4 linked regions of the Tamandua tetradactyla genome follow. The protein of the gene in region 1 interacts with the protein of each later gene in a biochemical or structural test. Links are inferred from orthologs where the notes say so. Each region holds a gene or a part of one and is shown in the gene's direction. Other genes may lie near its edges.

What was found.
Region 2: the proteins of BMPR2 (region 1) and GDF5 form a complex in vitro, tested with the Homo sapiens proteins (2 studies listed by BioGRID and IntAct, with this or other methods). The link is inferred for Tamandua tetradactyla from reciprocal best matches to the Homo sapiens genes BMPR2 and GDF5.
Region 3: the proteins of BMPR2 (region 1) and BMP2 form a complex in vitro, tested with the Homo sapiens proteins (4 studies listed by BioGRID and IntAct, with this or other methods). The link is inferred for Tamandua tetradactyla from reciprocal best matches to the Homo sapiens genes BMPR2 and BMP2.
Region 4: the proteins of BMPR2 (region 1) and BMP4 form a complex in vitro, tested with the Homo sapiens proteins (2 studies listed by BioGRID). The link is inferred for Tamandua tetradactyla from reciprocal best matches to the Homo sapiens genes BMPR2 and BMP4.

The regions. Positions count from the first base shown.
Region 1 is NC_135329.1:177,097,941-177,105,482, forward strand, and holds the start of BMPR2 (bone morphogenetic protein receptor type-2), read left to right. Parts: upstream 1-4,537; 5' UTR 4,538-5,819; coding exon 5,820-5,895; intron 5,896-7,542. UniProt on the Homo sapiens protein: On ligand binding, forms a receptor complex consisting of two type II and two type I transmembrane serine/threonine kinases.
Region 2 is NC_135327.1:17,071,320-17,078,334, forward strand, and holds the start of GDF5 (growth/differentiation factor 5), read left to right. Parts: upstream 1-4,002; 5' UTR 4,003-4,291; coding exon 4,292-4,916; intron 4,917-6,966; coding exon 6,967-7,015. UniProt on the Homo sapiens protein: Growth factor involved in bone and cartilage formation. During cartilage development regulates differentiation of chondrogenic tissue through two pathways.
Region 3 is NC_135327.1:54,115,583-54,123,443, reverse strand, and holds the start of BMP2 (bone morphogenetic protein 2), read left to right. Parts: upstream 1-4,851; 5' UTR 4,852-5,728; intron 5,729-6,904; 5' UTR 6,905-6,911; coding exon 6,912-7,254; intron 7,255-7,861. UniProt on the Homo sapiens protein: Growth factor of the TGF-beta superfamily that plays essential roles in many developmental processes, including cardiogenesis, neurogenesis, and osteogenesis. Induces cartilage and bone formation.
Region 4 is NC_135338.1:12,344,127-12,352,133, forward strand, and holds the start of BMP4 (bone morphogenetic protein 4), read left to right. Parts: upstream 1-5,004; 5' UTR 5,005-5,091; coding exon 5,092-5,153; exon of another isoform or gene 5,154-5,363; intron 5,364-7,605; exon of another isoform or gene 7,606-7,817; intron 7,818-7,871; exon of another isoform or gene 7,872-7,896; intron 7,897-8,007.

The DNA.
Region 1 (7,542 bases):
TGTTGCCTGTTTCTTGAGACAAGAGGGCTTTTACATCAGGTTTCTGCCTAACCATTGGTTCTTTCTAATCATCCAAATTTCAGGTTAAGTGACACTTCTCTAGACAGGCCTTCCCTGATGGGTCCTTCTAAGGTAGAATAGCTGTTCTTCTCATATTGTCTCTCAGTGCTAAGAGGTAAGTTATGGGCACACCCAATGACACACATGATCCATATCCTTGTATCCTTTCCCCTTGAGAGTGGGTGGAGCCTATGACTTGCTTCTAACCAACAGATTATGGCAAAGGCAACTGAATATTAATCCCATGATTATATTATGTTATATAAGACTCTGTTTTTAGAAGACTGGAGTGAGAGAGACTCTCCTTGCTGGTTTTGAAGATCTAAGTTATCATGTTATAGGGATGTCTAGGGACAGAGAAATGTGGCAAGGAACTGCAGGGGTCTCTGATAGCTGAGAGTAGCCCCTAGCAGAGAGTTAGCCAGAAAATGGAGGCTTTCAAAGACTGTGTGTATCTGTGTGTGCGATTTCACTGGGCAGGCATATGTGTAGCTCAAGGACTTCAAGACCAGTATGTCTAATATTCTGTTTTAAGATTTCCCTTACCATGTTATAATTTTTTTTTTTTTAACTCTAAGTCTCAGTAAAATTTTTAATCACATACAGAGTATCTTAAAGAATAAATGGAGGATGCTTGTATCTACTCTGGCACTGGCAAGGAAAAGCTCTTATGAGATGTCAGTAAAGACGTTCAGAGCAAATCAGGTACATTTGGGAAAAATATAAATCCTCCTCTGGGATCCTTCAAATGCTTGGGGAGGAGCTAGGTCCTCCTGTAGTCAGTCACTCAGGACTCAGCCACTTAGATTATTTAATTTTGCTCTTGAAGGGAAGGGTAACCACAGAAGCTAGGATAATTACAATTTCAAAATTTTAGACAAAAAAAGGAAGGAAACAAAGGGGACAAGAGGTCTAAGTACCCAAAGAAAAGCAATTTGTTTTCTCCTTTACATGTTTTCAAAAGAGAGAGACTTAGGTTGCTTTTCGGTCCAGAGGATGTCAGGACTGTCAATCTCCAATCTCATTTTCCTTGTATTTCACAACTGAGAGTTTTTCCCCTTCTTCCTGTATCTACACCTTGGTCTTCTAAAAGGAGACTCTTCCATGTCCCATTTCTCAGTTTAATCCTAAGGATTAAATCCTAAAATTTCCAAGCAGCTTCAGGTAGCCTTCCCTGAAGGGTATGCCCAGTGCTAACATTTGGTCTCCTGTGTTTTTTTTGCTAGAGTTAAGAGTTTTTCTTCTATTTTTTCTTTGACACCACATCTTTATGATTTAAAAGTTTGGTCTTGGAAGTATCCAAGCCCAGGTAACTCCTATGTGTTCTCATGCATGTAACAGAGATTTTGCCTTATTCCTTATTCTAATTCTTGTTCTAATAATCTGCCTTCTTAAGATCAGGGTTTTGATTTGCTTTTGTAAATCCTCCACCTCAGAGAAAAGATCATTCCATGAAGGGTCCTAATAAATAGTTAAGGTCTATCAGTCTCCCAGATGCTATTGGTTTGCCCACCTGGATATCTCTGCTGCTTCCTCTTCCACCAAGGTTCCTTACCCCAGAATTTCTCCCATAAGTTAGAAAACACTCTTATGTGTTAGGCTTTGGAAAATATTTATCCTTGGACACCATGGTAGTCATTAGGGCTGTTCACAGATATTCTAGTAACACAGTAGGATTACACTTCACTTCTCTTTTGAAGTTAGGTTTGGCCTTGTGATTTCAGTGGTCAATAAAATGTGAATGAAATTCACATTTATTGAAGCGTGTTGCTTCTGGGTAGAAGCATTTTAATAGAGCAAAACACTGCCACACTAGTAATTGAATTTCATGATCTCTACTGTGGCAATCTTGAAAGCCTGGGTCTCAGTGAAGCCTCTACCAGTCTGGGGCTCTTGGTGACTGCAATGAACAAAGCCCATTTAATGGATGCTGTGATGAACTTCCCAGATCTACCTTTTAGAACTGAAGTAACACTTGCTCCTAATTGCTGCAAATGGTGACTGACAGCTCTCAGCTGGTTCCCTCTCTGGGAGTTGCTTTGGGCTGAAGAGAGCCCTCTCACACAAGGGCCTCTCCCTTCCCCAGGTGCAGCCCATAAGCAATCACTGGTTGATGTGGGGGTATAAAGACCTGGCCCCAGCCTCAATTTAGGACAATGCTGAAGGGCCACCCCAGCTAAAGGGCTCCCTACAGGATAATGTAAAGCTCTTTTGCAACTGTGTAACAGTTCAACCTCTCTCTCTATTCAATCCTGCTTCCCTCAGTCCCCACAAAGGTTGTATTGAGAGCACTATCCAATATATCTCCTGATCACAGAGTTTCAGGGTCTACTTCCTGGTGAACCAGACTTGTGATAGACCCCCTGATGACTTGTGCCTAACATGTAGGGTGTGTGAGAAATAAATTAATGTTGCAATAAATTACTCAGATTTGGGGAATGTTTCTATAACCTAGCCCATCCTGACAGGTACAGATGTTAAACCTCACCTGCCAGCCAATCCTTTGTTCTCAAAGAGCTTGACTCTATTGCCTGTCTTGTCTTGGTGAACAGGCCCAGTGCATAGTTTTAGTTCTTTTCTTATGTTCTTTCTCACTGTGAGTGGACAGTCATGTCCCAACTGGAGAGGAACAACAGGAAAAGGAAGAGGGTGGTCTATCAGGTTGTCTACTAAGTATTCCTACCAACAAAGTGGCAAATAGAAACTCCTTTCTCTTTTCCGTGTAATTTATCACATATGTACAAGGGTGCTAAATGTTTCTTAGAAAAAAATTTATGCAAATAAAAGTTGAATAATCAAATACATAATCCCAAGTTGAGGAAGAAAACCTATATATTACTAATAAACTTTCTGTATCCCCAAACATACCGAAACCCTATTTCTCTGGATGTTTGTCTCATTTCTTAAAAGACAAAAGGTAAAACAATACCATTTTCTTATTTTAGGCGTTTCGGGCAAAACAAAATTACAGAATCAAAGCATATGCTCCTTTCCCCTCTTCACTTAAGGGACTTTACTATATAGAAACATTTCTTTCTGCCTGGAGGGTAAACAGTACAAAAATATTTCAACTAAAAAGAGTCTGAGAATCTTGGGCTGGTATTACCAGAATCCATAAATAAAAAAGATACTTAGTTTGATAACAACAACCAGTTTAAGGACTGTCGAGATTTGTTTACATCAACGTTGGATAAAAAGATAAAAGCGGCTTGAATAAGCAAAAGCAAAGAGTATCTCTAGGAGTGTATCTCTGCATGTATCTTAGCAACTGCCCTTAGCCACAATGAAAGACCAGCAAAACCAGCCTTCAGCATTACCCTTTGCTTAGCGGGGGAGGGGAAGGGTAAACTTCACCTCTACCATTCCCGTACCCCCACCCCGACCCCGCAAAATTTCCACCTCGAAGCTCAGTAGTAAAACCAGACTTCCGATCATGGCGACACGCACGTCACCTTCTTCCCTCTGCCCTAGCAATATCCTACCCAAATCGACTTGATCAGGGGTGAAGGGGTGCAGGGCGGCGAAGAGCGACCCCCTACTCTCATCTTCGTCGCTTGGGTACAAACGAGATTTACAAATCTTAAAAAACAGACTAAACAGATCGTTTCCGGATCCAGGGAAGCTACGGTACCAACCGCACCTTCCCATTTCCTTGGGTGCCAACACTCGTCCCCAGCCTCTACCCTGGTAGCAACTCTCCACGGCTTTTCTTCTCAGCAGCCCTGAAAAGCTCCCCGCCCCCAGCTTTGTGAATAAAGGCCCACCCTCGAAGTGTAAACCGCACTGCAGGCAAGCACGTACAGCAAGACGGCTTATGGATTTTTAAAAGAGAGCGCTTTCTTTCTGGCTTCACATCCTTCCAAATGTTCAATATTCCTGTCAGCTAAGAATGGCGAAGGGAAAGGTGCTTGAGGAATGCTGTACGCCAATGAGAGCAAAAAAAAAAAAAACCCACACCAACTTAGGGGTGGTCTTTCTAATTCTGGCTTTTGCTTGAGTCAGTGAGGGAAGACCGAACAGACTAAGGTCTCCGGTTCGGGGAAAGGCAGGCCTGTCTGGATTCTTTGGGCTACGGAGAGGAAGGCTCCGGCCCGGGGAAACAATGGAGCGGCTCGGCTCCTCGAGGCTTTTCTCCAGGAGACACGGAGGAGACGGCGACGTCTCAGTCTGGAACTAAATCACGGAGCTTAGAAGACTTAAGAGAAAGCTGGACAAAAGATGTGGCCGCCATCCCAAGTACACACACAAACGCCAAGCCATTCACGTAAGGAAGGTGTGCGTGTGTCGAAAGGAAAAGGCGTTGCTGCCCACCACGGGCTGCCGGCCCCACCCCCGGCTCTAGGCAGCTCAGGGGCCGAGACCCGCCGCGCGAGGGCCGCCGAGCGCTGCCTGGGCGGGCCGGGAGCGAGGGGCGGGGCCGGGCGGGGCTGCGGGCGCGCGGGCGCAGTGAGGGTCTGGTCGCGCCGCCGCCGCCGCCCGCGCTGCACCACAGGCCGGAGACAGACTGGGCCGGGAAGAGCCGGAGACTGAGGAGGAGGAGGCGGACGCGGAGGCGGAGGCGGGGCGACTCCGGTGACCGAGAGCGCCGCAGACTGGCAGCTGCGGCGACTCCCCCCCTTTGTGTCTGGTCTGCGCGGAGCCACTGGAAGTGCTTCCCGGAGGGGCGCTGGGTGTCTTGACCCTCGCTGCCTAACCCCCTTCCCGGCTACCAACATCCGCCCTCCCGCCGTCCCCGCCCTCGGCCCGAGACGCTCGAGCTCCGCCCGGAGCCCAGTGTTGCGGGAGAACTAGGCGGCGGAGGCTACGGCGGCAGCGGCGGCTTCCTCCTCCTCCTCGAGGGCTTGTGATTCGCTCACCGGAGCCAGAGAGGGAGGAAGATAAGGCTTTCACGGTGGAATTTACCTCAGAATCTAACTGCAGGAATAAAAATCAGAGAGGATAAGAGAAGAGTGCACCGGGAAAGGCAAAAAAGAAAGGGCAGCCTCCCCGGCACCCCCTTGCACCAGCAGCCTCCCTGCCGACCCCTCCCCTCCCCCGCTCCCCACCGCCCCTCAGCCCTCCGGAGCTGCCCTGTCGGACCCTCGCAGGATTGTTCCGCGAAGGCGTGAGAGCTGCGAGTTTGCCCATGGAGGCAGTCACCTTTTTCGATCTAGTCGAGGAAGAGGGTTTGTAGCTGGTGAAATCGGAGTGAAGGGAGCACCGAAGCGAAACTTAAAAAAAGGAATCCTGCGCTCCCGGAGCCCCGGGCGATGCGACTCGGGCCGCCGGGCGCCGCCGCTGCCCACGGGGCTTCGCCCTTCCCGGCGGTGGGGGACTGGCTCTGATCTCGCCCTCCTCCCCCCTCCCCACCCCCCATCCAATCCTCGACCTCCGCCCCTCTGCTCCCTGGATATGTTTTCTCCCAGACCTGGATATTTTTTTGATATCGTGAAACTGCGAGGGAAATAACTGCAGGGATTTCTTCTCGGTTCCCTGCTTCTCACGGACATGCCTTCAGTTTGGGAGGCCGAAGCACCCCGTCCTAGGCGAATGAACCCCCGCCAGCCGCGAAGGAGAGAAATGTAGGGGATTTCTACAGCGGAATGAAAGCTCTGCTGCTGGGTCTTCTCATCTGCCATTTGTCCTTTCAAACTGCTTTGTAACGCGGGCAGGATAAAGCAGCCGAGAGAGAAGACGAGCTTCCTGGCAGTATTTCTCCGCCCGTATTTACTTTCCATATTTCTTTTTCTTTGCCTTCCTGCTTCTTGGCTGGCTCAGGGATGCCTTCCTCTCTGCAGCGGCGCTGGCGAGTGTCCTCGCTGCTATGGGCTGTCCTGCTGGTCAGCACTGCGGCCGGTGAGTAGCCCCGATGGCGCTTCCCGGCCACTTCCCCTGCGGTAGACGAGGGAGGGTACCGCAGAGGCCGAGGCCTGCGCCCGTGTGCCCGCGCGCCTCTCCCGTGCCTTCCAGGGAAAAACCTGCAGGGTTTTTGTATGGTTTCCTATCCCCCTCCCAAATTCTCACCCCCTACTGAGGAAGAAAAGACATGTTGGGTGTGGTATCTTGACATTTTTAGCTGTGAGGTAATGCAAGGATTAAAAATAATATTTTAATCACCAGTGAACAGTGTCTATTATGAGATCTTTAGAAACAGAGCTATAATTTTTTTTTTTTAATACGAAGAAGCGAATTTGGCTTATAGGAAAAAGAGCAACTATAAACATACACGAACCTTATTTTTAGATTTAGAGCACTCTTCGGAAATCCGTGTTTCTTTCATTATTCAAAAATCTTATACAATGAATAGAATAAATGTCGTGGAAGCCAGAACTGTGAGATTCTTACTACATTTATAATACTGTTAATTATTATTAGCTTTAGTATTATTTTACAACAGAGTATTTTTTTAACGATATCTCCATCATGTTATTTTGGATCCTTATACTTTATATGCTTTTGGAATTATTGAGCACGGAAGTGTTTTCAGTAACTTTTCTAGTAGTCATCTGGCATCTCTTGGCTTTCCTGTCATTGAGACAACTTTGACCTGACATCAGACTTACAAGATATTTGAGCCCTGAAAGTTCTTTGACCTTTTACTGAGCTTAAAGGGATATGGTAGTCATTCTTTCCCTCGGATATTTTCTTTTTAGTTCTCAGACACCTTAGAAAAAATGTTCCGATTGCAGTTACTTCTCAAGCAGTTTTTTTGTGGTCTGCTTTTAGAGATTTTCTATAGTAAATAGTTACATATAATTTTCAGATTTGGTTCAGGATGGCCAAATAGATTATGCATTTATAAACGAGTCATGAGCAACATGACAGTTTTCTAATTATTCTTTTACTTTTGTAAGTGTGTAATTTTCACAGTCATTAAATTTCTCATTGTTGTGTTAGACACAGGAGTTATTTCCATCTTAAAAATCTGCCCTGGAAAAATACTGAAATTGAAGTTTCACTTTTTGCTTTTGCTGTTGTTGATTGGTGTCTACTGTCTTTATGAAAATTTATGCACTGGTGTTAAGATAATTTGAATTTATGAATTGAGTGTATTTTGAAACTTCTATTTTGTGAACTTAATTCTTTTTGGGGTAAAAATAAGCGATTGTTTTCAAAGTTTCTTTATATTTTGTGTTAGCTATTTCAATTTTCTAGCCTTAAGCCATGTGGCTCTTGTAAAATATGAAGAGTCAAAGGCCTTATGCTTAAGCATTCATTCTGTGAGCAGAAACCTCACACTAGACTTTTCAGTGTTCTTTGTTATTCTTGACCATTTGAATGCAGTTTCTCATTTATAGTGCCATGCTTATTTTCTGATCAGACCTGATAAAAGTAAGAGGAAAACAATTTAAAAATAAACTTAATTTCTATTTGCTAAATATTCTTAAGATTGTGTCCCTTAAAGGGTTAGTTTAAAAGAAGCACTGCTTAAAAGTGGTTTTAGTCTTTTTTTTCTTTAATATTACATAGCGTTATAAGCCAAAATCTGTGAAGCTGAATTTC
Region 2 (7,015 bases), on another chromosome or scaffold:
CACAAACTGTCCCCAGTGCTCGTGCTCTTTACCACTTTGCTGTGCTAGATGGGCTTGTGGAGAGACCTCGGGAGTTCAGATATCATAACGAATGTGATGCCACTTTGAAAACCGCTAAGTGTTTGAAAACAGCAAGGGATTGCTATTATTTGGTTTAGTGCTCACCTGTGAGATGGGCATAATAATCCCTGGGCTAGTGACTTATAAGGATGATTTTTGAAGTGCCAATGAGATAATGGATGCGGAAACATTTTAAGAAGTTAAAGGCTCTAAATCGTGGAAGAGACTGCAAAGATTTTTTCCATGCCAATGGTTTCCCAAGGCTCCCATCCTCTACCTTGAGTTTGTCATAAATATTGCTGACAGGAGAGGGGGAGGTGGGGGAGACACAGGGAACCCAGGGACTCTACGTCCCAGTAATTAAACATGTCGGGACTCAGGCGCTGCCAGCAGCAGCATCTGGTTGCAATTACCAGAGGGGACCAAAGTGATTAGTCACCTTTATAGTGAGAGCCAGGCAGGTCCCCTGGGCTCCTCCCTTGAGAGGGCCTTCAGACCAAATTCAGAGTCCCCTTTCCCTGCTCCTACCCCATTCCTGAGGGTGCCCTAGTCCTCACACAGCCCCTGCCCTGAGACTCCTCCATGTCCCCAAGGTTCCAGACCAATGGATGAGACCTTGAGTAAAAGCCAAGTCTATTATAGCTGCCCCCACCACCTTTTTAGGTCTTCCGTGTTTCTGGAGCCCAGATTAAGATTCTTCGGTACAGAATGCATCAAAGTGGGAATTAAAAAGTAACTTAAGGGCAGGCAATGGTGGCTCAGTGGCAGAATTCTCTCCTGCCATGCCGGAGACCTGGGTTCAATTTCCGGGGCCTGCCCATGCAAAAAAAAAAAAAATGGAGTAACCTAACCTCTCTGAATTTCAACTTCCTCAGCTGTAAAATGGGAGTATCAAGAGTATCTTCAATGTAGTGTTGTTGTAAGGATAAAATAAGATTAAAGTGCAATGCAAAAGGACAATAGGCCAGAGTCTATTGTAATAAAGAGCCCAATAAAGAGGAGCTATTATTATTATTTGCCAGTTGCTAGGCTAATCAGCATTTTATGATTCACTTCATTATATCCCTGTGAGGTGGGTACCGTCACAGGGTTTAGAGGTTTAGAGACTCCCCAAGATCATACAATGGGTAAATAGCAGAACCAGGTTTCAAAACCAGATCTGTCTGTCTCCAGAGCCCTTGCAAGGATGTCTTACTTGTTTGACTAATTCCCCCTTCATTTAGTCAATCACTCAAGCTTACAAAGTGCCTATTAAGTGAGCAAGATAAAATCTGTCCCTTTAAGGAACTCAGAGACAAGCAGGGAAGGCATCATTTGTCTGTGAGTAACTATACCTTAAAGTAGAAAATGATGGCTTTCACATTAAAGAGCTGGTTAGAGATTCATTCATTCCATACATACTGCAAATCTGCTGTGCGTTGGGCCCTTTGCCAAGGACTAGGAATAATTCAAAAATACATAAGTATTTTAGTCTAGTCACAAGCTAATGGGGGGACACAGATATGTAAATAAATCATTATGACTATAAGGAATTAAATCATATTAAATATATTTTAAAAGCATGCACAGAGTGGAAGCAACGAACTCAGCTGGAGACGGGGCAGAGGCAGAGACTGAATAATCTCTGAGATGCCAAAATGGAAAAGGGTACAGAAAATGTATGGTGTAATTCAGAAGGATTTGTATTTGGTGGTCGGGTGGGGGGGGAGCAGCTGAGGGAAGGCTTCCTGGAGGAGGTATCACGTGAGTTGGCTCTTGTTTAAAGGGTAGTTCTTAGAGGGAGGGTTGGAACAGAGACATCCTGGAGGCCTAGAAGCCAGGTATAAGGGAATTGCAGTAGACCAGCACTGACTAGACAGTGGAGGTAAAGGGGATGGAGAGGAGAGAAGGAATACGAGAGATGTTGGATCTTGTGACAGATTCAAGTGGAGACAGGTCAAAAGGGAAGACAACAGTTGTGAATTTTGGTAACTAGAGGGATAGTAATAAATTCAGTCATTTCTTAAAGAGTTCCCCAAAAGAGTGCCTGGTGGTACATTGGTCCTTGGAGATGGGGAGGTATACCTCTATTGAATTTCCTGATCTCAGCACCAGATAAAGCTTGGAATGACCAAATTATGCTGAGAAACAAATCTGGTAACCTCACGGTACAAATAGATCTCCACTAGGCAGGCTTATGATAGACAAAGGTGGAAATAATCCAAATGTTCATCAATGGATGAATAGACAAACAAATTGCAGTATATCCAAACAGTGGAATATAATTCACCCATTAAAGGAACAAGGTACTGATAAATGCTGCAACTTGGATGAACCTTGAAAACATGCTAAGTGAATGAAGCCAGACACAAAAGGTCATACATTGTATGATTCCTTTTATAGGATATATCCAGAATAGGTAAATCCATAGAGACAGAAAGCAGATTAGAGGTTACCAGGGGAGAGGGGAAGGGGGGACTGGGGAGTAATTGCTTAATGGGTGCAGGGTGTTTTTATGGAGTGGTGAAAAAGTTTTGAAACGAGAGAGAGTTGGTGGCTGCACAACATTGTGAGTAAACTAAATGCCACAGAATTGTACCTTTTTAAGGGGTAAATTGAATATTATATGAATTTCACCTTAATAAATAAGGAAACCTACCTGACTACCACTTCTCACAATGTGACAAGCATTGTAGTGAGATGTAGAAGAGGGAGTGACTGGTTCTGTCTGGGGACTAGGGGAAGCTTCCCCTAGGAGATGAGTTTTCAGCTGAACCTCTCAGGATGAGGGGACCTCCTCCAGTGTGGGAGTGAGAGGAGGACATTCCAGGTGAAGGGAATCAACTTTCCCTCTGCTGACCCCGCAGTAAGTTGCCCAGAGACTCTGTGGGGGAGGCTCCCAAAAGAAGGAGGCTTCAGTACTTAAAGGAGGCACTTTAAAAACACCTTTTGAGTTCAGCTGTAATTCAGACTTCCCGAGCTCCCAGAAAAGTATCATGTGGGGAAATCTCTTTTCTGGCTTCCTGCAGGGGCCGCTGCTGCCTCGGGCTGGGCTGCCACCTCTGGCCTCAGCTAGTCCTTTCCAAGAAAACTCGGAGGACACCTTTGCGGGGGTGGTGGTGGGGTACACTCTGGACCTGCCTCTGTCTGAAGGGTAGGCTCAGGAGTGGCAGTGCCCCCCAAGCTTGAAGAAATCATCTGAGCTCAGTCAATGGCATTTGAGGGGAGGGGTGTAGTGGGCACTGATATTTCTCTGGGTCACCACAAGTTTATTAAAATAAAAGAAGCTGTGGGTAAATGCTGCCATCTGTGCTGTTCCACCCCCCAACCCCCACCCCTGGCAACACACAACAAATCAGGCCCCAGACTAGACGCAGGGGTTGTAACTGCTTTAAAAACACTCCAAGGACTTAACTGAAAACCCAAACTCCTCATGCTTCTGGGGCTTAAGATCCTGGAGTTCATTCCTCAGCATCTCTCCTCAGGAAAGTGGGGTGGGCTGCTCCATGAGGTGGAGGTGAAGACCCCTGAGTCTGCGCCACAGTCTGGGAGCCCCTAAGCTCAGAGTCCTGCTGCGGGGCTCTGTGCCAAGAGCCCCCGTGAGCCACGGCCTCGAAAGGGCAGCGGTGATTTTTTTCACATAAATATATTGCACTTAAATGAGTTTAGACAGCATGACATCAGAGAGTAATTAAATTGGTTTGGGTTGGAATTCCGTTTCCAATTCCTGAGTTCAGGTTTGTAAAAGATTTTTCTGAGCACCTGCAGGCCTGTGTGTGTGTGTGTGTGTGTGTGTGTGTGTGCACTCACGCAAGTGAAGTATTTTCACTGGAAAGGATTCAAAACTTAAAAAAAAAAAAAAAAAACTGGAGCATACAGGCAGCATTACGCCATTCTTCCTTCTTGGAAAAATCCCTCAGCCTTATACAAGCCTCCTTCAAGCCCTCAGTCAGTTGTGCAGGAGAAAGGGGGCGGTCGGCTTTCTCCTTTCAAGAACGAGTTATTTTCAGCTGCTGACTGGAGACGGGTGCACGTCTGGATACGAGAGCATTTCCACTATGGGACTGGATACAAACACACACCCGGCAGACTTCAAGAGTCTCAGACTGAGGAGAAAGCCTTTCCTTCTGTTGCTACTGCTGCTGCCGTTGCTTTTGAGGGTCCATTCCTTTCATGGTTTTTCCTCCCAAACCAGAGGCACCTTCACTCCTGCCACCATTCTCTTGGGTGCCATTCAGCGGCTGGTCAGAGGATGAGACTCCTCAAACTCCTCACTTTCTTGCTTTGGCACCTGGCTTGGCTGGACCTGGAATTTATCTGCACTGTGTTGGGAGCCCCTGACTTAGGCCAGAGACCCCAGGGGGCCAGGCCAGGATTGGCCAAGGCAGAGGCCAAGGAGAGGCCCCCTCTGGCCCGGAACATCTTCAGGCCAGGGGGTCACAGCTACAGTGGGGGGGCCACCAATGCCAGGGCAAAGGGGGCCACTGGGCAGACAGGAGGCCTCACACAGCCCAAGAAGGATGAGCCCAAAAAGCTGCCTCCCAGATCGGGTGGCCCTGAATCCAAGCCAGGACACCTTCCCCAGACAAGGCAGGCTGCAGCGCGGACTGTGACCCCAAAAGGACAGCATCCTGGGGGTAAGGCACCCCCAAAGGCAGGAACTGTCCCCAGCCCCTTCCTGCTGAAGAAGGCCAGGGAGCCTGGACCCCCTCGAGAGCCCAAGGAGCCGTTCCGCCCGCCCCCCATCACACCCCACGAGTACATGCTCTCGCTGTACAGGACGCTGTCCGATGCTGACAGAAAGGGAGGCAACAGCAGCGTGAAGTTGGAGGCTGGCCTGGCCAACACCATCACCAGCTTTATTGACAAAGGGCAAGGTGAGGGGGCGGGGTTGCAGGGGCACGGCTCACAGGGAGGGGCATCTGCACGCGCAGAGGGGCTTACAGAGGCCTGACACTGCACTGGAGGGAGACGGTGTGTGCATCTGGTATGGGGTGGGTGTCTGGGACTTACCTCATATGTAGCAGGACCCCCATGGTGGCACATCAGAGTTGAAGGGCACCTAGAGATTACCAAATCTCATTCCTTAAGGGGCATAAGGAGACACTAGACCTACTCAGGTCATACAGTCTATTGGTGTGAGTTGGGGACCAGACTCCAAGATTACTAGGTCAAACTTTTCAGGGCCAAACTTTCCAGGGCCCAGGGTTTTGTGGGTTTTCTCAGAGACAGAGAGAAAAATGAACCTCTAGATTCCTATGGTTCAATGATTTTGTCCTCAGGCAAGGAAACAGAGGCAGAGGAAAAGAAGACAGTAAATGGGGCATATTGGAAGCATGGAACAATGTGGAGATATGTAGACATCTAGGGTCTAGCTCAATAGGGGACCTTGCAAAAGACCTTTCTCCCCTCAGAGTCTCAGTTTCCCCTTCTTTATGTGGGGGTTGGACTGGATGACTTCTGAGAACCCTTCAAATATGAAAACTATGCCCTGTCCTGGCAGAGCTAAGCAGAGATAATTTTCATCATTAGCCCAGGGGTATACCTTCTTCCTTCATAGCTCCTTCTGCCCACCTAATGTTACTGCTTGGCTTTTCCTCTAAGCTTTCCCTCTGACCCCAGCAAGTCCCTTCCTTCTCAGGACCTCAGTTTCTCTGTAAGTGTTAAGAGGGGAACAGACTAGCTGATTGCTCTGGTCGTCATCCTCCGGTTCTGTGAGTCTCAGGACTGGCTGGCCCAGCAAGGGAGGGGCCATTCCTCATTAGAGCAGGCCCGTGGGGGCTGGGTAGGGGGGCAGGGAGGCACAGAAGTAGAAGGTCTGGCTGAGGAGGGGGAGGTGGCCTGGCTGCCTGCCCAGCCAGGGAAAGCTGTGACTGCTTGGGGGCTCATAAAGTAAGTCCTTGTGTCCCCCAGCACTAAGGGAACTTGGGGAGGGAGAGATGGGGAGTTTAAAGGTCTAATTAGTCACCTTCTAGAGCAATATATGAATGCTCCCCAATGGCAAGTTGGTATTTAGAAAGAAGGGCATGCTCATTCAGATATACTGCTGAGCCTCTCACACAGTCTTTTATTTATACACATGCTGAATCACATACACACACGCATGCCTTCTTACATATATATGCACAGGGATCATACACATACATACACTTGTCCATTCCTTAAGTGTTCATACAAGCCCAATCATACATACCCATGACATGTCACTCATACATGAACATAAGAACTCAATCATTACACATACACAATCTGTCACATACACACATTCACACACCCAGCAGATAAGATAGATACACAATGAGATGTTTAGACTGGAAAGCCAGGGAAACTGCACTGTAGACCAGCTTTGTCATTAACTTGCTGTGTGCACTTGGGCAAGTCACCCCCTCTCTGGGCCTCACCTGTAAAACGAGAATACTAGGGTCTCCTTTGAGGTAAAGTGGAAGCAACTCAGGATTGGGTATAAAAAGTTCTAAAGTTCCGGTTCTGCTTTTTCCTAGCTGGGTGAAACTGAGCCAGTCTCCTAACTTCTCTGAGCCTCAGATTCCTCCTCTAAAAATAGGAGAAGTTATAATACCCTCCCTACCTCACAAAGGAGGTATCAAATTAGATAATGGGTGGGAGAGAAATATGTAGAAGGCAGTTATAAAGATGATGACTCTCAGCTACACATAGGTCTTTGACACAAGCATCTGGAATCACAAGATTCCAGCCACTCAAATCATCCACAGTCACATTTACAATTAAACACCCCTACTTGCTCTGCTTTGTGGGAAGCTCCCTCATTTTGAAAAAGTCTCTCAGTCTTCGCCCTGTCAGAGAGGGGAAGAAGGTAAAGAAAGCTCTGCTCGTGGCTCACCCCTGAGGCCTCAAGGTGACTAGCTCCTTCAGTGGGGTGCAGGGAATGATCTCTGGTGTTCTCTCTAGATGACCGAGGCCCTGCGGTCAGGAAGCAGAGGTACGTGTTTGACATTAG
Region 3 (7,861 bases), on another chromosome or scaffold:
TCCTGGTTTGGCTTCCCAGTGTAGAGGCAGGGTACATCACTAGTCCTTATCATTACACACACCTTTGCAAAATATTTCTTTATTAAACGCTCTGAAACGGCCTCTTTGGCATGGCCCTCGTTTTTCTGCCAGGACCCTGCCTAGAGAGTTGAGTAATCTTCTAGAACTACCTTACCCCGATCCAAACCCTCCTCCAAATCTGAACCATTTCCTTGTGCCCTGCAAAACAGCAGCCTACATTTTCCTATCCTGATGTCTTGGCTTTTGGCTGCTCCTACTGTCTGGAATTGGGAGACCATTAGCATGGATTCTAGAATGGGCTATTGGACTTCCTACATGCTAGTTGTGAGATCTTAGGAAAATGGCTTAACCTTTCTAAGCATCTGTCAAATGAGCAAGGTTCTTCTGAGGATCCATTGAAACAACAAACAGAAAGCAGCTAGTAAAACTCTTTAAACTCAGAAACTAAAGATGTTGCTGGAAATCCTGCTACTGCTACTGCTGACATTTGTAAAGTATTAATCCTACTGAATCTCTGTTCTCCCTGAAATATTCCTTTCAAATGCTCTCTCTACTATGAATTTACTGGACTCACATTTCAAAGTGAGATTGCTCTCCATTAAACCTGACACACTTGCTTCTCACTTCTCTGAAACTCTTATCTCATATGCCTTATATGGATAATCTGTGAACATGTTCCATCACTTCCACTGAATTCTAAGTACATTACGTGCAAAGATTATGTATTTTTCTATTCTCTGGGACCTGAGTGACATAATGTCATGGACATACTAGCTGCTCAGTAAATTTTTGTAGAATGAATATGCAAAGAGAAATACCATGTGGGCGCTTTGTAATCTAATTAGCAAAAGATCAACACATTTTAATACACTGACTAGATATACAAATATATTGACATATGTTAACTAAATAATATTTAATGGCTATCTAAAATCACGTATTTGGGAAGACATAATTATTTTTCAGAAGCATGTATTCATTCAACCCATATTTTTGGACTCTATGGAGTATGAAAAAAATAACATAAGCCAAAAATATAACTTCTAAGTACAAATGACATTAGTTTGCATAAATATAGTGATTCAAATTTTGCAACTTTTTGTTGTCTTTGCATATATATTTTCATGCATTCTTCATGTCAGTCCCATGAGAAGGTCATATATTGATCTCTACATTTTATTCCTGAGGAAGCTGAGGAAAGGAGATTAGTTATTGCTTTAGATCGATCCAGGTGTTGAGCTTTATGACATAATACCTCACCGTACAGCAATGTGATAAAAAAAAGAAAAAACTGTTAAAACAACAAAAGACATACAAAATCTTATCTTTCAAAATCAGGCCATATTTCAGGCAGAAAGCTGAAAACTATATTTAAAGATACACAGATAAGTAGCAAATGGCATCTTGTGTTTGTATAAACATTTAAAAATTCTCCAGCCCATCATTACCAGTTGAGGCGGCAGAACAGAGCCTATTTACCCTATCAACAGATGGGTACAAGCGATGACATTTTTTAATTATAGCCTATATTTGCCTGAAAGCCGGGACTCTGACTTGGCATACATGTCCACTCCATCCATGCCTCCTACCATGTCCAGTTAAATAAACACCAAATAGGTAAGAGTTTGTTAGAGTAGACGCTGCTCTTTTTCTGTGGTTCCAGGTTCCTCAGAAAGAACTTCATTTGGGTGAAGAACTGGTATCTGGTGTCCCAATGGGAAGTAAATGATAGGTATGCTAAAAAGCCAAGAGTTTTCTCAGGGAAGTTGCCACAGGTTTCAACAGAATGACAATTACAAGGTAAATGGATTATTTAATGCCTGCTGTGACCTTTACAATATGCGGGGATCATTATTTTAATGTTAATTTGCATAATGGTTGGTCTAGTAAGAACAAGGCTGAATGCTAGCAGCTGCAGGATGCAATAAAATTAAACATTATCTGGGCTGGACTGCTAAAGGAAAAGTTGCCAAAGGATGACTCTTTAAGCAATTAATTTCACCTTGGGCTATGTCCGTACACAATCAAATGCAGATTTCCTGTATCTGTTGAAAAGCTGGCAAGAAAAATGGAATGGAGTAGCAACAACCTACTGCATGTGGAATCCTTACCTGGCATGCTTTTCGTGTATCCCCTTTAAGGCATCTGAATTTGCAACCACCACCTCTCCTCCAATCACCCCTTTACCCCCATCTATTGGCAGACATACCAAATTTGATACCAAGGAAGAATGAATCTTGCCATTTGGGTGAGATAACTTTGACTGAAACTGAGAAATGTAGAGTTGACAAAGGCTAGTCATAAGTAGTATCTTCAAGGCGAACACACACTGCCCCCTCAAAGTAATGGGAGGTCAATAACAAAGAGAATGAAAGAAAGGAAGATTATTTCCATTTAGATGTGTCGTTTTTAACTATTTCTGTTGCCTGGCATTGGAAAACCAGTAGATGTGGCCATCCAGGACGTAGTACCCCAAACCAGTCCTTAGGAGATGATTTTTATTTTATTTATGTATTGACTCCCCCCCCCCCCACCCCCACGAAGGCGTTCTGACTCATTTCCACCACAAGAGGGCAGCCATCTCTAAAAAACAACCAGAGAGCCAGGCTCTTAAGGGAGAAAGGCCAAAATTTAGGAAGATGTGCTTAGGAAAGGCATGCGGCAGCCTCTCAGCAATTGCATTCCCACCAGAAGAGATCCTGTGATGGGCAACACGGAAATTGAATAGAGGGCCCTGCAGTGCCCATCTTCCCTCAGATTCTTGACGAACAAAGATGAGTCCATAAACAGACAAGCTTCTTTTCTTAAGTCATGAAGGCCTAAAGCTGCAAAACATCTTTGATGTCATCACCAAAATTTGGTTTCCGTGTTTGCTTGGGGTGCTTCCAATAGCGATCAACTTGCCCCTCCTTTTTCAAGGCTACATAGGTTCGAAACTGAAAGCTCACCAATAACGGAACCTGCTGTTAACGTCTCAAACCTGATAGGAAAGGAAATCGTTTCAAAAGCACAATAAACACTATTTGACTTGGGTCGATGAGAAGAATATGTTTTATTGCTTGTCCGGTGTGGAATGATTCAGAATGACAATTAGCTTTTATTATGCTTTATTTTCAGGGAATAGAGAAAAACGTTTCTGTATATTTTGCACACAAACTCCCCTTTTAGTTTCCTAGTAGGCAAACTTACTCCAAAATACCTTACTTGACCTTTATACCTTCAGAAACAATGAGTCCCTAATTCCCCTCTGTGGGTTGCTAATCCGATTTATGTGAGCAGAACCTAGAATTATTTTAACTTCCCAACCGAAAAATAATACACAGGAATAATAGATTATTATTAGTTCTTGCATCTGATTTCTCTATCTCTTTGCTTGCAGGCACCAAGGCTCTGGTGCAAGCCAACCGATTTGGGGAACCAAAACTTTCCCAGAATTTTTCAGCTTTCGGCTTAGGGGATCATGTGGACAACTGGGTCACCGCTACCTATTGGGACTCCTGGAATTCTGGGAGAGAAAGAAGCCTTGACCCCGAGACTCAGGAGGCAGAAGGGCAGCAGCTTTGGGGAATATGTGAGCTCAAGAGGAAAAGCGACTTGACCACAAGTCATAGCCTCGCTGCTGGAGGCGGGGCGGAAGGGGTGGGGGGTGGGGGGTGGGGGGTGGGTCAGAAGTTTCTAAAGTTCCAAACCGGAATTATCTTGTATGCCTGGCTCACGCTGTGCGCTTTTTACTGTCCTCTGGGCTGCTAATCTCATGCCCCCGAGCCAGGCGAGATAAATATCGATATGGCAGCTCGAAGTGATTGCTGCCATAAAAAGATAAAACCCTTCCTTCCTGTCCTCTTCGGCTGGTACACACACAGTCCACTTGCACATCTGTCATATACAGCGGGTTGACATCTATTTCACATGTATACACATATTAATGGAATGCGTCTTAGTTTTCCTACATCTACATACACGATATAATTATGTACACCAAAGTGTTAGGGTTTAAACACACCCAGTTTCCAGCCTAAGGTTTTCTTTCTCTTCTCCCCCCCTACCCCCACCCCGGGAAAACACAGACGTGTCTACTCCACCGTTTTGACATCCCCCCGAACTTGGATGGGTTTTTTGTTTGTTTGTTTTTTAATCGCCTATTACTGAAAAAACCTTCAAACTAAAGTTGAATAACGGGCCCCGCGGGGAAACTGGGGCCTGACCCTTTATTTGTCCGGATTTCACCTCGGGAGCCCCCGCGAGGTCGGGCGCTCGGGATCCTCTCCCATTGGAGGGCAGGGGCTGGAAGCGCGAGCGCCCCCCTCGGCCACGCGGCTCCCGCTCGCGGCCCCACCCGCCGTCGCTGCTCGGGCGCGCCGTCCACACCCCTGCGCGCCGCTCCCGCCCGCTCGGGGATCCCCCGCGCACTGCGCCGGCTCGCGCAGCCAAGGGGGAGGTGTTCGGCCGCCGCCGGGAGGGAGCCGGCAGGCGGCGTCCCCTTTAAAAGCCGGGAGCGCCGCGCCACGGCGCCGCCGCCGCCGGAGTCCTCGCCCCGCCGCGCCGCGTTCGGCTCGCGCTGCGCCCGCCGCTCAGCTTCCCACAACCCGCCGGGGATTGGCAGCCGCCGCCCGACAGCAGCCGCCGCCGCCGCCGCCACCGCCACCGCAGACCCGGACGCCCCTGGAGGCGAGCGCCGCGCCGATTCCTCGGGGGCTCGGAGACACCCCCGCGTCGCGCACTCGGATCGGGCTGAAGCGTCCGGCAGTGCGCGCCGCAGCGCCGTGGCCTCGGCTGTCCGGGCCGCGACAGAGCCGCGGAGCTCCGCGCAGAACGCCGGGGAGTTGGGAGCCGAGCCCGAGCGCCGTGATGCCGAGCACCCCCCGCCGCGGTGCTGGGGCCCGGGACGCGCCGCCTGAGTTGTGATCGGACATCAGGCTGGCCACAAAGGGCAGGGCACTTGGCACCGGGGGATTCGAAGAGCGCGGCCACCCCGCCTTGGCGGCTCGGGGACTCGACTCGACTCGACTCTCTCTCCGGAGAATGCGCCCGAGTACGACGGGGCGCCGGAACCACGGCGGTTTCGCTAGTGGAGCGCTAATGGGGGTGCGCTGGAGTAAGGCAGAGTGATGCGGGGGGGCAACTCGCCCGGCACCGAGATCGCCGCAGCCGCTGCACCCCTCCCCGGAACCGGCGTCGCCCAGGATGGCTGCCCCGAGCCATGGGCCGCGGCGGAGCTAGCGCCGAGCGCCCGACCCTCGCCCCCTGCGTCCCGGAGCCGGCCCTGTGCGGGGCCACGCGTCCCGCGGGCGCTGGTTCCTAAAGACGACGACAGCACCAGATTTTCCTTTCTCCCTTCCCTTCCCTGCCCCGCAGTCCTCCCCCCGCTCGCTGTTGTTGTGTGTCAGCACTTGGCTGGAGACTTCTTGAACTTGCAGGGAGAATAACTTGCTCTCGTGCCGGTGCCTCTCTCCCAGCCGGGCCAGCCTCGCGGCCCTGAGCCCCGCCGCCTGTCTGCTCCTCGGCTGGTCCGGACCCCTAAACGCCGTTCCCAGTGCGGAGAGGGCCGCTGCCCAGCAGGCGCCCGGGAGGAGGCAGAGAAGGCAAAGGAAGGGAGCAGACACCCAGTTCCCGCGCCAGGTCCTTCGGCCAGAGCTTTTTCCATGTGGAGGTTCTTTCAATGGACGTGTCCCCGCGTGCTTCTTAGACGGTCTACGGCCTCCTAAAGGTAGAGAACGCGGGCGGGGGGCAGGGGAGCGGAGGTGGGGGCGGTGGACGCGGGACCCGCGCGGGGCTCGGACGGCCGCAGCGGCTGAGCCGTCCCAGGGGCCGGGCTGAGTGGACGTAAACAGAGCGCCCTCCTGGTCCACGTGCAGCCGAACCCCTGCGGGGTGCCGTCATCCTGCCGCCCCCGGCCACTGTGTAATCTCGCCCGCCTGTCTGTCACTCTTCGACCCCCGACCCCCTGGGTATTTTATTAGGGCTGTTAGCGCTTAGATGATTTTAAAAAAAGAGAGAATCAAAATCCTTTAGAGAGGGTGGCCCTTGGATTTCACCCGTTAGCTGCCAACCTGTACCCCTGCAGTAGCAGTGCCATCTTCTCCAAGTTTTTTTTTCCGGAGACCAGCTCTCTATGTGGAGCCACGTTCCATTTGGAAAAGCACTAGAAGTTGGGGTTCTCCCTGTGTTTCCAGACATGCGAGGAGGGAAGTACTTCAGTGCCTCCTTGTACTGTATTTTTAACAGCTGACACGTGAAACATTAGCTATTAGTCATTCACGTAATCCCAGGGAGATGTATGTGTATCTTGTCTGCGGTAGAGGTGGGCGGGGGTGGGGAAGCCTACCCTGACGCCCCCGAAGTTCGGGGCGTGGGTCACAAGTTGCGAATGCTGTTCGGAAGTTGTGGCCTTGAGTTTACAGGGTCTGGAAGTTGTAGACTGTGGGTGTGTGTATCAGGAAGTCTATACGGTGCCTCTAAGGAAGTCACATGCACCATTTTTTGCATGTTTATATGCAAGCGAGCGCTGTGTGAGTGTGTTTGGGGTTTGTATAGGGGACGCAGATTTGTCGGATCCAGGGGCAGTTTCCCCAGGTTCCCTGTACTTGCTGTCAGCGTGGGTGTCGCAGAAAAGAGGTGATAGTCTGCAACGATGGGGGCGGGGGTGAAACCCAAATCCGAGGGCACATGGGTTGAGAATGAGATGGGAGGGGGAAAGCCATAGGGCTGTGGAACGAGGGGCCCTCCATTCTTCCCAAATATCCGAGCGTCAGCTCCTCTGACTTAGCCCAGTTAGTGTTGCAAGCCAGGTGGGCACCGTGGAGGAGGTGGCAGCAGACCGAACGAGGGGCAGGGGTTATGTTGTGCCGGGAACTCGGTGACTCACCGTCGATCCTGTCTGCAGGTCGACCATGGTGGCCGGGACCCGCTGTCTTCTAGCGTTGCTGCTTCCCCAGGTCCTCCTGGGCGGCGCGGCCAGCCTCATACCCGAGCTGGGCCGGAGGAAGTTCGCGGCGGCGTCGGGCCGCTCCTTGTCCCAGCCCTCGGAAGACATCCTGAGCGAGTTCGAGTTGCGGCTGCTCAGCATGTTCGGCCTGAAGCAGAGACCCACCCCCAGCAGAAACGCCGTGGTGCCCCCCTATATGTTGGACCTGTACCGCAGGCACTCGGGCCAGCCGGGAGTGCCGGCCCCGGACCACTGGCTGGAGAGGGCGGCCAGTCGCGCCAACACGGTGCGCAGCTTCCACCACGAAGGTGAGCCGCCCGCGGAGTCACCGCACCAAGCCCTCCTGGAAGGGCACTTTGGCCAGGGAGCAGTGGGTGTTTCCACTCTTGTCGCTGTTGGAACCAGGCTTTAAGGCACTGCTTGTGCAGTGGGGGAGCCAGGGATTCCCCTTAGTAAAGCTGTACCTTTTTTTTTTTTTTTTGGCGTGCAGCCAGAAGGGCGACTCCTCCCCCAGGAACTGGAGAGAAAGCAAGTGATGGGGAAGATGAGGGCAGAAGGCATGCCCCCTGGTCAGCTAAACGTGCAAGAATTCCATAGGGAGAGAGGGGAGGGGGTAAGAATCGGGATTTCTTTGTCTGTTTGGAAGCCCTTACTCTATAAATCTCTTCTCGTGCCAAGCCAGGGTTTCAGGCTAGACAGAGCCAAGGACAGAATTTTCAGAGATAGTATTGGAAAATCAAAGCCCAGGGCCCTAAAGTCTTTCTAATTTACAGTTGATCTGGGTCTGGGTTGGAAGGTTTTGAATCCCTATCTAATCCCCGTGGGAGATCAATTCCACAATCAATCTTATTGTTTCCACAATGACTTTCTTGTCTTGTGCTTGAGTCTGAGATAGGCTCAGAGTAGAGACAAGGA
Region 4 (8,007 bases), on another chromosome or scaffold:
CAGGCTCTAAACTTTGAAGAGGGAGCAAGAGAAGCGATTCTTCGAAGCCTCAATTTCCTCCCTTCAGCTCATTCCCGGAGTCCTAGAGGTGGAGCCCGTTCCTTTTTGAAGCTCTTACCTCTTGATTGGGCTTCCTCCATTGCTCTCCTAAGAAATAAGTTATCCCGGTGACCTTTTTTTTTTTTCTCATGTAACTTATTTGGTACAGTCAGGTGTCCATGTAATAATCTTCTGCTTCCAAGACTCATCTCACAGTGGCAGTGCGAGATGACTCTTGTTCAGGTCCCACTGTTGAGACCCAAGAAGAAGGAGAGAGAGGGAAGGAGAAGATGTGTGAGCTGAGAGCAAAGTCATCTCCAAGGTTTTAATCTTCATGATACATTCTAGAAGAATTTAATTCCAAACAGCATGGAGGGGCAGCCTAAGCAGGAAGAAGTCAAATACCCATCACTGTGTGCCAATCCAGCCCTCCTTGTGATAACTATTCCTTGGAAAAGGCGCTTCTACATCCGTATCTTGTCTGCCATCCATGTATTAAACATGTTAATGATATAAAAGCAGTCTTCTAAAACTCGAATATCATTGGAGCTTGGATCAGCATTCTCTATTTTTGATACTTTACTTTAAAGGATTAAAAAAGAACCATATTTCAGAGAGTAGCAAGGTAACAATTTAAGGCATAGGGAACTCAAATAGTATTGCATTTTATTTGGTTCATGAAAAAAATTAGAATTCTAGTATTGTTTAGCTTTGAAGGATGTATATCAATGGTTGAGAATAGTCTCAAATGTTTGAAAAAGGAACTTTTCAATCAGATTAAAATTTATTCTTTAAACTAGGAAAAAGGAGACAGGTGTACATTTTACCAAGACGGGAAAAAAGTCAGAGGCATTAGGGATCATAAGATTCAGAGAGAGAAAATGTTCTGAATTTGTCATCTTGTCTATTATTTCCTTGCTCTCAGTAGGTCTGACTGCCCATTTTGTTCTTTACTTACTAGTTATCTTGGTAGACATATGTTCATGGGTCAGATCTATACAGACAAATCATAATGTTAACTCAGTGAATGATGATTTGTGTAAACAACATACCTTATTCAATAAACACCTGAGATATGTGTAGCACCAGGGATTGCAAATTAATGCGAAAGCATAACCCCTTCTTTAAAAAAGTTTATCGCTGATAAACTTCTTGGTAAAACTCGATGCTCAAAGTGGTTCTTCGTCTTCTACTTTGCTTTTTAATCATCGCCTTTGCAAGGAATAATAACAGCTAATATTTACTAAGCACTTGTATGCCTGTAATTTATCTACATGAACTCATTTAATACTTATAAAAGCACCATTCTCCAATTATAAATGAGGAAACTGAGACACTAGAGGGTAAGCTATCTGACCACAATCTCAAGTAGTAGGATAGATTTCCTCTCCTGGGACCTGAGAAAGACCTATGAGGAACCTGTTCAATCCTCACATTTTACCACGAGGACACTAAATCCTAGCAGAGGTAAGCAACTTTTTCTCAAAGAAGGTCACAGTTAAGTCTCACTCTGAGGTGGGCTGTGTGTTCAGATCAGAAGGAAATGAGCTTCATTTTGCTCTGTTTTTCAAGAACTTGGGAAGATATTCTGAAATTCCCAGTAAAGGCGTCTGCTAGGATGGAACGGCAGTTGGTGCCTTAGCATCAGGAGAGACTCCAGGACAAGGATTCTTCTGTCAGAAGCTGTGGCCAGAGTGATCTTGCAGGCTCAAGGCATCTGACCTGGGCTGAATTTTGAGTTTACTAGTTTACAACTCTATCATGCTAAGCAACTTCTCTGACTTTCAGATTTTCATTTATAGAACAAGGATTTTATGGGGGTATTGTGGAGGCTAGAGAGCAAATATGTAACAAATGGTAAATATTAATAAGAGAAAAAGAGATCTCTTTCTAATTCATCAAAATTTATCTTGCTTCTCAAAAGTTAGCAATGGTGCTGGGAATTCCTTTGGCGTACATCTTCATAGCTTCAATAAATACCTGATCAAGAAAGAAAGCTTGAAGACCTCATCTGGTTCTTAATGTGACATAGAAGCAAAGGCTACTGCTGCTACCAAGATTAGAAATCTTTTCACTTGCATAGACCTATTTGGTGTGCTTTGGGTATAGTACTGCTGTAATTACCACATTTAGCAGTTCATAAAGCATAAGCCAAACATATTCCTTGACTGTTTACTAATTCTTGATACCATCTTTTTAATAGCATCTACCAGCCCCATAAATATATGTGAAAGAACTGTTCAAACAGTGCTCAGAATCACTAGAGGACCTGGTTAAATATGCAGATTTCTGGGCCCAGATTGGGGGCAGGGCCAGGAATCTGTGTTTTATCAGCATCCCCTCTCTTAGTTCTCCAGCTTAGGATCCTACAGAACATATCTTAAGAAAGACTGTCTTAAAGGCTTATTGGCCAACTCGTCTTTCTTCATATTTTCCAGGAAAAATCCAACAAACACCCTTCATTCAGCACTAACAGCAGAGCAGCAACAGTTGTTTCTGAATCATCATTGGATATCTCCACTTGCCCGTGCTTTAAGAATAGAGTTTCACTTGGTTCATCTATATTATGTTCTATGAGAAGAACAAGATTCACAGGAGACTTGAGATGGGAAAAAGAAATGGACCAATTATCCTTGCCAACTTTGATACCTAGGCTCTGACTGACTTAGCTCTCTAACCAACAAGTAATTTGTTCTTGGCATGGGAAAGAGGAAGAAAAGGGGAGAAGACGAGTGGGTAAAGACAGTCAATACCAGATGGTTTGCACCCATCTTAAAGCATGGGGAAAGAAAAGATATCCAAAGAGAAGTGACGCTGAGCTGTTCCTACCACACATTTTACAATTCATAACAGGGTCTAAAGAAAGTATTTCAGGTGGCGCAATTGTACACTCCTGATTGTGAGTTTAACAGAATCATGGGCTGGTCAACGGCCACTTCATTGTCTGGGCTTCAGCAAAATGGGAAAACAATTATCATCCGAAAATACTTGGGATTAAACAACATTAAAACGCTATGGAGTTTAAAAATAAAATAGATAAAGCCCTGCTTTTAAGCAGTATATCACTCTTGTTTCTGAGTTTAAGGATTAAGGAACACTCTTAACTAATGGATTAAAACCATAGTGATTGATTTAGGGGGCTCAGGAAACATTTAATCTGTCCCAACTCTGTGTGCTAAAGGACCACACCGCCTAATGCCCCAGGAAGGACATTAGGTAGCTATTCAATAGAGTTTTAATTTTGTGTTGTTTTTAATTAATTAATTATAATTCGGATTTGTTGGAAGCAGGAGGTATATTGCGAGTCATCTTTTCTAAGTGGCATTACTGCCCTGCCCTGTCTCAGGGGTGATTTAAGATGAAAGAAGTTGTTGTTTCATAAAATTTCAATGAAATAATCTGACCATTTTTAGACTGAAAGAGAGAATGGAGATTATTTGGCCTAATCCTTTTATTCTCAGTTGAGAGACCTGAGATGTGTAGGAAATGAACTGACTTGTCCAAAGTCATACAGCTTGCTCGTGTGTTGTTTGATGCACTATTGAGCTAAAAGGCCTCGTCAGCGGTGTGATCCGGACACTTCCCACCCTTTGTCCTTTTCCACACATAGGAAGGAGTTCTTGTGTTCTAAATATTGAAGGTGTGTATAATGTAAAATTTTTACAGGTCAGCTACCCTGGGCCAGTATCTGTTTAAGTCAAGACCTAAAAGCTTTGCTGGGACAGGGAAGTGCAGTGTTTGTCTCCCAGAGAGAAAGTAGGACAGGGAATGCTGTCCTCCAGCACTCGTCTGGCTACCTGGAGCTCAGTGCTGGGATCTTTCACCTCACCCTGAAGCATCAACTGGAGGCTCCAGAGCAGAGGCTGAGATTTCCTTCAGGGCTTTGGGCAAGTCCCTTCCCCTTCCTTGTTTGTAAAATAGAGATGATGCTGATACCTCCCTGGTCGCACCATCACAGGCACTGTGTGAAATGAGATCCTGTCTGGGAAAGTTTTAAAGCTACCACATTCCACCTTCCCGCTAATACGATTACTAGTGCTTTCTAGAATATGAAAGGACCAACTCTTCACCACTTCTCCTTCCTTTAAAAACAGACCAAAGGGCATCTTTTCTTGTTTCCCGGTGGCCTACAAAGTTATTGCTCCAGTGACTGTCACTTCCTTGGAAGATGATAGAGCAAAGGATTCCTGGGTGTACACCAGGAAACAAACAAATCCACCATCCTCAAGAACCACAAAAATAATTCTGCTGTGGCAGTTAAAAGGGCTTCTGAGGTATATTCAGACTTTCTAACTGTAAGTAGCTCCAGCCTAAGTCCAGGCCACCTCTACTCCCAGGAAGTTTGGGCCTGTGGGGGAGGTGGGGGCAAGCCTGTTCACTGGAGCTCTTTTTGGGGATCATCACCAACGCTTTACAAAAGAAGCACTTGAAAAGATGTTCTGGGAGGAAAGCCACCTTGTAACAGCCGAAGAGGTACCACCTTCAGCTCTGTGCGCAGCCTGTTTCTCAACGTTTGGAAATCCTTTAACAACTTATGGAAGGCCACCCTTAAAACCAATCCAAGGGCTCCTTCCTCCATAACCTGATTTTAGAGGTGTTTCATTATCTCTAATTACTCGGGGTAAATGGTGATTACTCACTGTTTTAATAATCAGTTTGGGCAGCAGTTACTCTAAACTCAGGGAAGCCCAGACTCCCATGGGTATTTTTGGAAGGCACGGCGACTAGTCGGTGCATGCTTTCTAGTACCTCTGCACGTGGTCCCCAGGTGAGCCCCGGCCGCTTCTGCAAGCTGGAGGCAGCGGCGTCCCAGCCCCGGCGGCAGCTGAGGACTCGGGCGCTGCCGGGGCTTCCGGGACCCGGGCCTGGGAGGCGAGGCCCGGCGGCGGGAGGGGAGGATGTGGGCGGGGCTCCCATCCCCAGCAAGGAGGCGAGCAAGGGAGGAGGGACACAGGGAGGAGCTGACGGCCAAGAGGAGGAGGAAAGGAAGAAAGAACGAGAGGGCGAGAGAGAGAGCGAGAGAGAAAGAGAGGGAAAGACGAAGAAGAGAAGATGCAAGAGGGCCGAGGAGGAGGGCGGGCGGGAAGGCGCGTGGAGCCTAGCCCGGAAGCTAGGTGAGTCTGGCACCCGAGCCGGGGGACAGAGTCTGAGACCCCGCTGCTGCTCGGGGCTGAGTATCTCGCCTCGCTCCCTGATGGGATTCCGGTCCGAGCTGTCTCGAGCCTGCAGCGCCCCAGTCCCCGGCCCTCGTCGAGGCTCACTGCAACTGTTCCGAGGTCCCCAGAAGCTGCTGCTGGCGAGCCCGCTCTTGCAGGGAATCTATGGTGAGCAAGGCTGCCTGGCGAGGGGTGCTGGGCACAGGGGACAGAAGCGCATCCTTGCGGGCAGAAGCGGGATGCGGCCGGGGCAAAAGGTGGTCCAAGCTTTTTCCAACGGTGATGCTGGAAGTGAGGATGCTAGCGCTGAAAGACTTCCCTTACCTGCTATTGTCTCCGCCCAGGCCACCCTCTCCGTCGGGTGCCGGGGGCGTTTTCTACCTTCGAGAGATGTGGGCGAGGAGGGGAGGGGAGAAGCCCTTGCTAGGGGATCACTGGGAAAAAGATTGTAAGGTCGTGAGCTGAAAGCGCTGTCTGTGGACCGGGAGGTTGCGTTGCCCCGACGGGAAAGACCAGGCCAGGAAAGAGGGCGCCGGCCTTGAAGTCCGGAGAGGGTGAGGGGGCTGTGGGGCAGCAGGGTGGGGGAGAGAACCCCTAGCCAGCGGCGGTTCCGTCGTGGGAAGCGCAGTCCTACTGCCTTCTGGTGGGTGCGTGCCCTTGGCGGGGCTGCGTTGAGGGGAGTGTCACCCGATCAGGTGCCCCGCCGGCCGGACGTCCCCGAGAGAGCACGCGAATTACTCGGGCAGGTCGCGCCTCCTCCTTGAGCTCTTTTCGTGGACTTGCGGCTTCCAAGGAACCTCCCCTCTATCGTTTCGCGGTATGGAATCTGTAGGGAGGATGGCCGCAATGCCAGGAGCTCCAGGATGCTCCTCCTCGCAGTTGGCGTCCTAAGATTCACAGCTGGCAAGACGCGGCTCTTTCCCGGTTCTCTGTACCCGAAGCCGACGGGGAAGTGTCCCGAAACTTCCCTCCCCACGAGCGTCTGGCCCCACATCCTCAGATGCCTCCTGGGCTCCGCTTAAGTTCGCGGCTTGCAAGGACCACGGTTTGTGGGGTGGACGCTTTGTGAATCGTTAAAACGTCCAAAGACCTGGTCGGTAAACTGAGGCTACCTCTGAACAAGTTTCGGCGTTGGGAAGACTCGAGGAAAAGACGGCAAGAGTCCCGTCCCTGACCCCCGAAAAAAGGTTTTGGAGATGAAATTGGTCTTTCCGGCTTTTATCTTTTTGAATTAAAAATAATTCCGAGAAAAACGTATTAGAGACGAATCCTGCAGATTGCAAAAGTGAAGCCTCACCCACCCACATCACTCCCCCAGCCTACTCCTCTTAGCGCAGCTCAAGCCCCTTTGGCTGCCCGGGAAGATACCCAGAGGCCGAGGATGGCGCGGGGACCCGGGGCGTCCGTCCCCTGCATTGTGCGTTCTGCCCGCGGGAACCGGCCCGGCTCCGACTACTTCCCCCATTTCTGGGATTCCCCTCCTTTTTTAGGGTCCCAGGCGCCTTAAGAACACTTAGCCCTTTCTCAGCCTGCCCCAGCAGTGGCGTGAGAGCCAAAAAAGCCCAAGGCGGCTCAAAAAAAAAGAGCGAAGCTTGGCGCGGGGCGCGGGCGGTCGCGCAGGGGCGCCCGCGGCCTCCGCATCCCTGCCGGCCGCGGCCGGTGACGTTGGGCAGCCGCGGCCCTGGAGGAGGGCAGAGCTGCTCGATCCTTTTCTCCTCTTCCTCCAAGGCTTTCTGGGAGCGTCTCCCCAAAGTAAAACCAAGTCTTGGGGGGGAGGGGGAGGCGGGCAGCCCAAGCCCTCGAGGCCCGAAGCCGCCAAAGGCAGGAACTGGGAACAGCCTCGGGTGGGGTGCGCTGGGGGAGGGAAGGGAGAGTCGAGTCCCCAGCGTTTGGGCGGGAGTAGTGGGGCTCGGGGCCCTGCAGGCGGTCCCACAGGGGGGGGGGGGGGGCATGCGGTGTGTGTGGGGTGGGAACGCAGAGTCACACCAGGTAAGGTTTTCCAACAGGCCCTTGCGCTGGGCGACCCACGCAAACAGCATCTTCGCTTTGTGTCAGGCCATCTCAGTAATTCCTTGAGCTGTGGGTTAGTTAAATTCTTGAGGGAATATCTGCTGCGACTCTGCAGCTGGTGCAAAGGAGGAAGGGGGTGGGGGAAGGAAGTGGCGAGGTGGGGGCGGGAGTGGTGGTTGAAAAAATAAGCCAAGAAAGAGAGATGCAGACACAGAGGTCGAGTGCAGGCCGAAAGCTGTTCACAGTTTTCTTGACTCCAGGGAGCGTGGTGGGATTTCCTTTTTGTGTCTGGTCGGGAGTTGCAAAAAACCTCCGCGACATTAAGACCTGAAAATAAAATAAATAAATAAATAAATGTGATGCGCCCTTTTTTTCGCGGCGACGCCTTTTTTGAATCCACCCTGAGCCGGGAGCTCCAGCCTTCCACCCCTCCGCCTTGAACCCTTCGCCGACTGGTTTCTTTCGGGATTTGCTTTGCTGGGGGCGGAGGGAAGGGGAGATGGGAACTGGGCGGCCCAAGCAGTGAGCGGTTTTCTCCAGACTGGAACCAGAGCAAATAGCTTGGCGGCCCCTCCCTCTCCGCTTTCCCACCCGGATCCCCTCCCGCCCTCGGTGCGTGACTGGGTCAGCGGCTTTTGGCCGCGAGCAAAAAGGGTTGCTCTTCTGAGTCCTCGCAGGCGTGCGCCAGGGAGTGAGTGGCTGTCGCGTTTCCACTGGGGAGCAATAATTGGCCTCGCGGAGACCCTGGGGAAGGAAGTGGCGGGGCATGAGTGTGTGTGTGTGTGTGTGCGTGGGGGGGCTC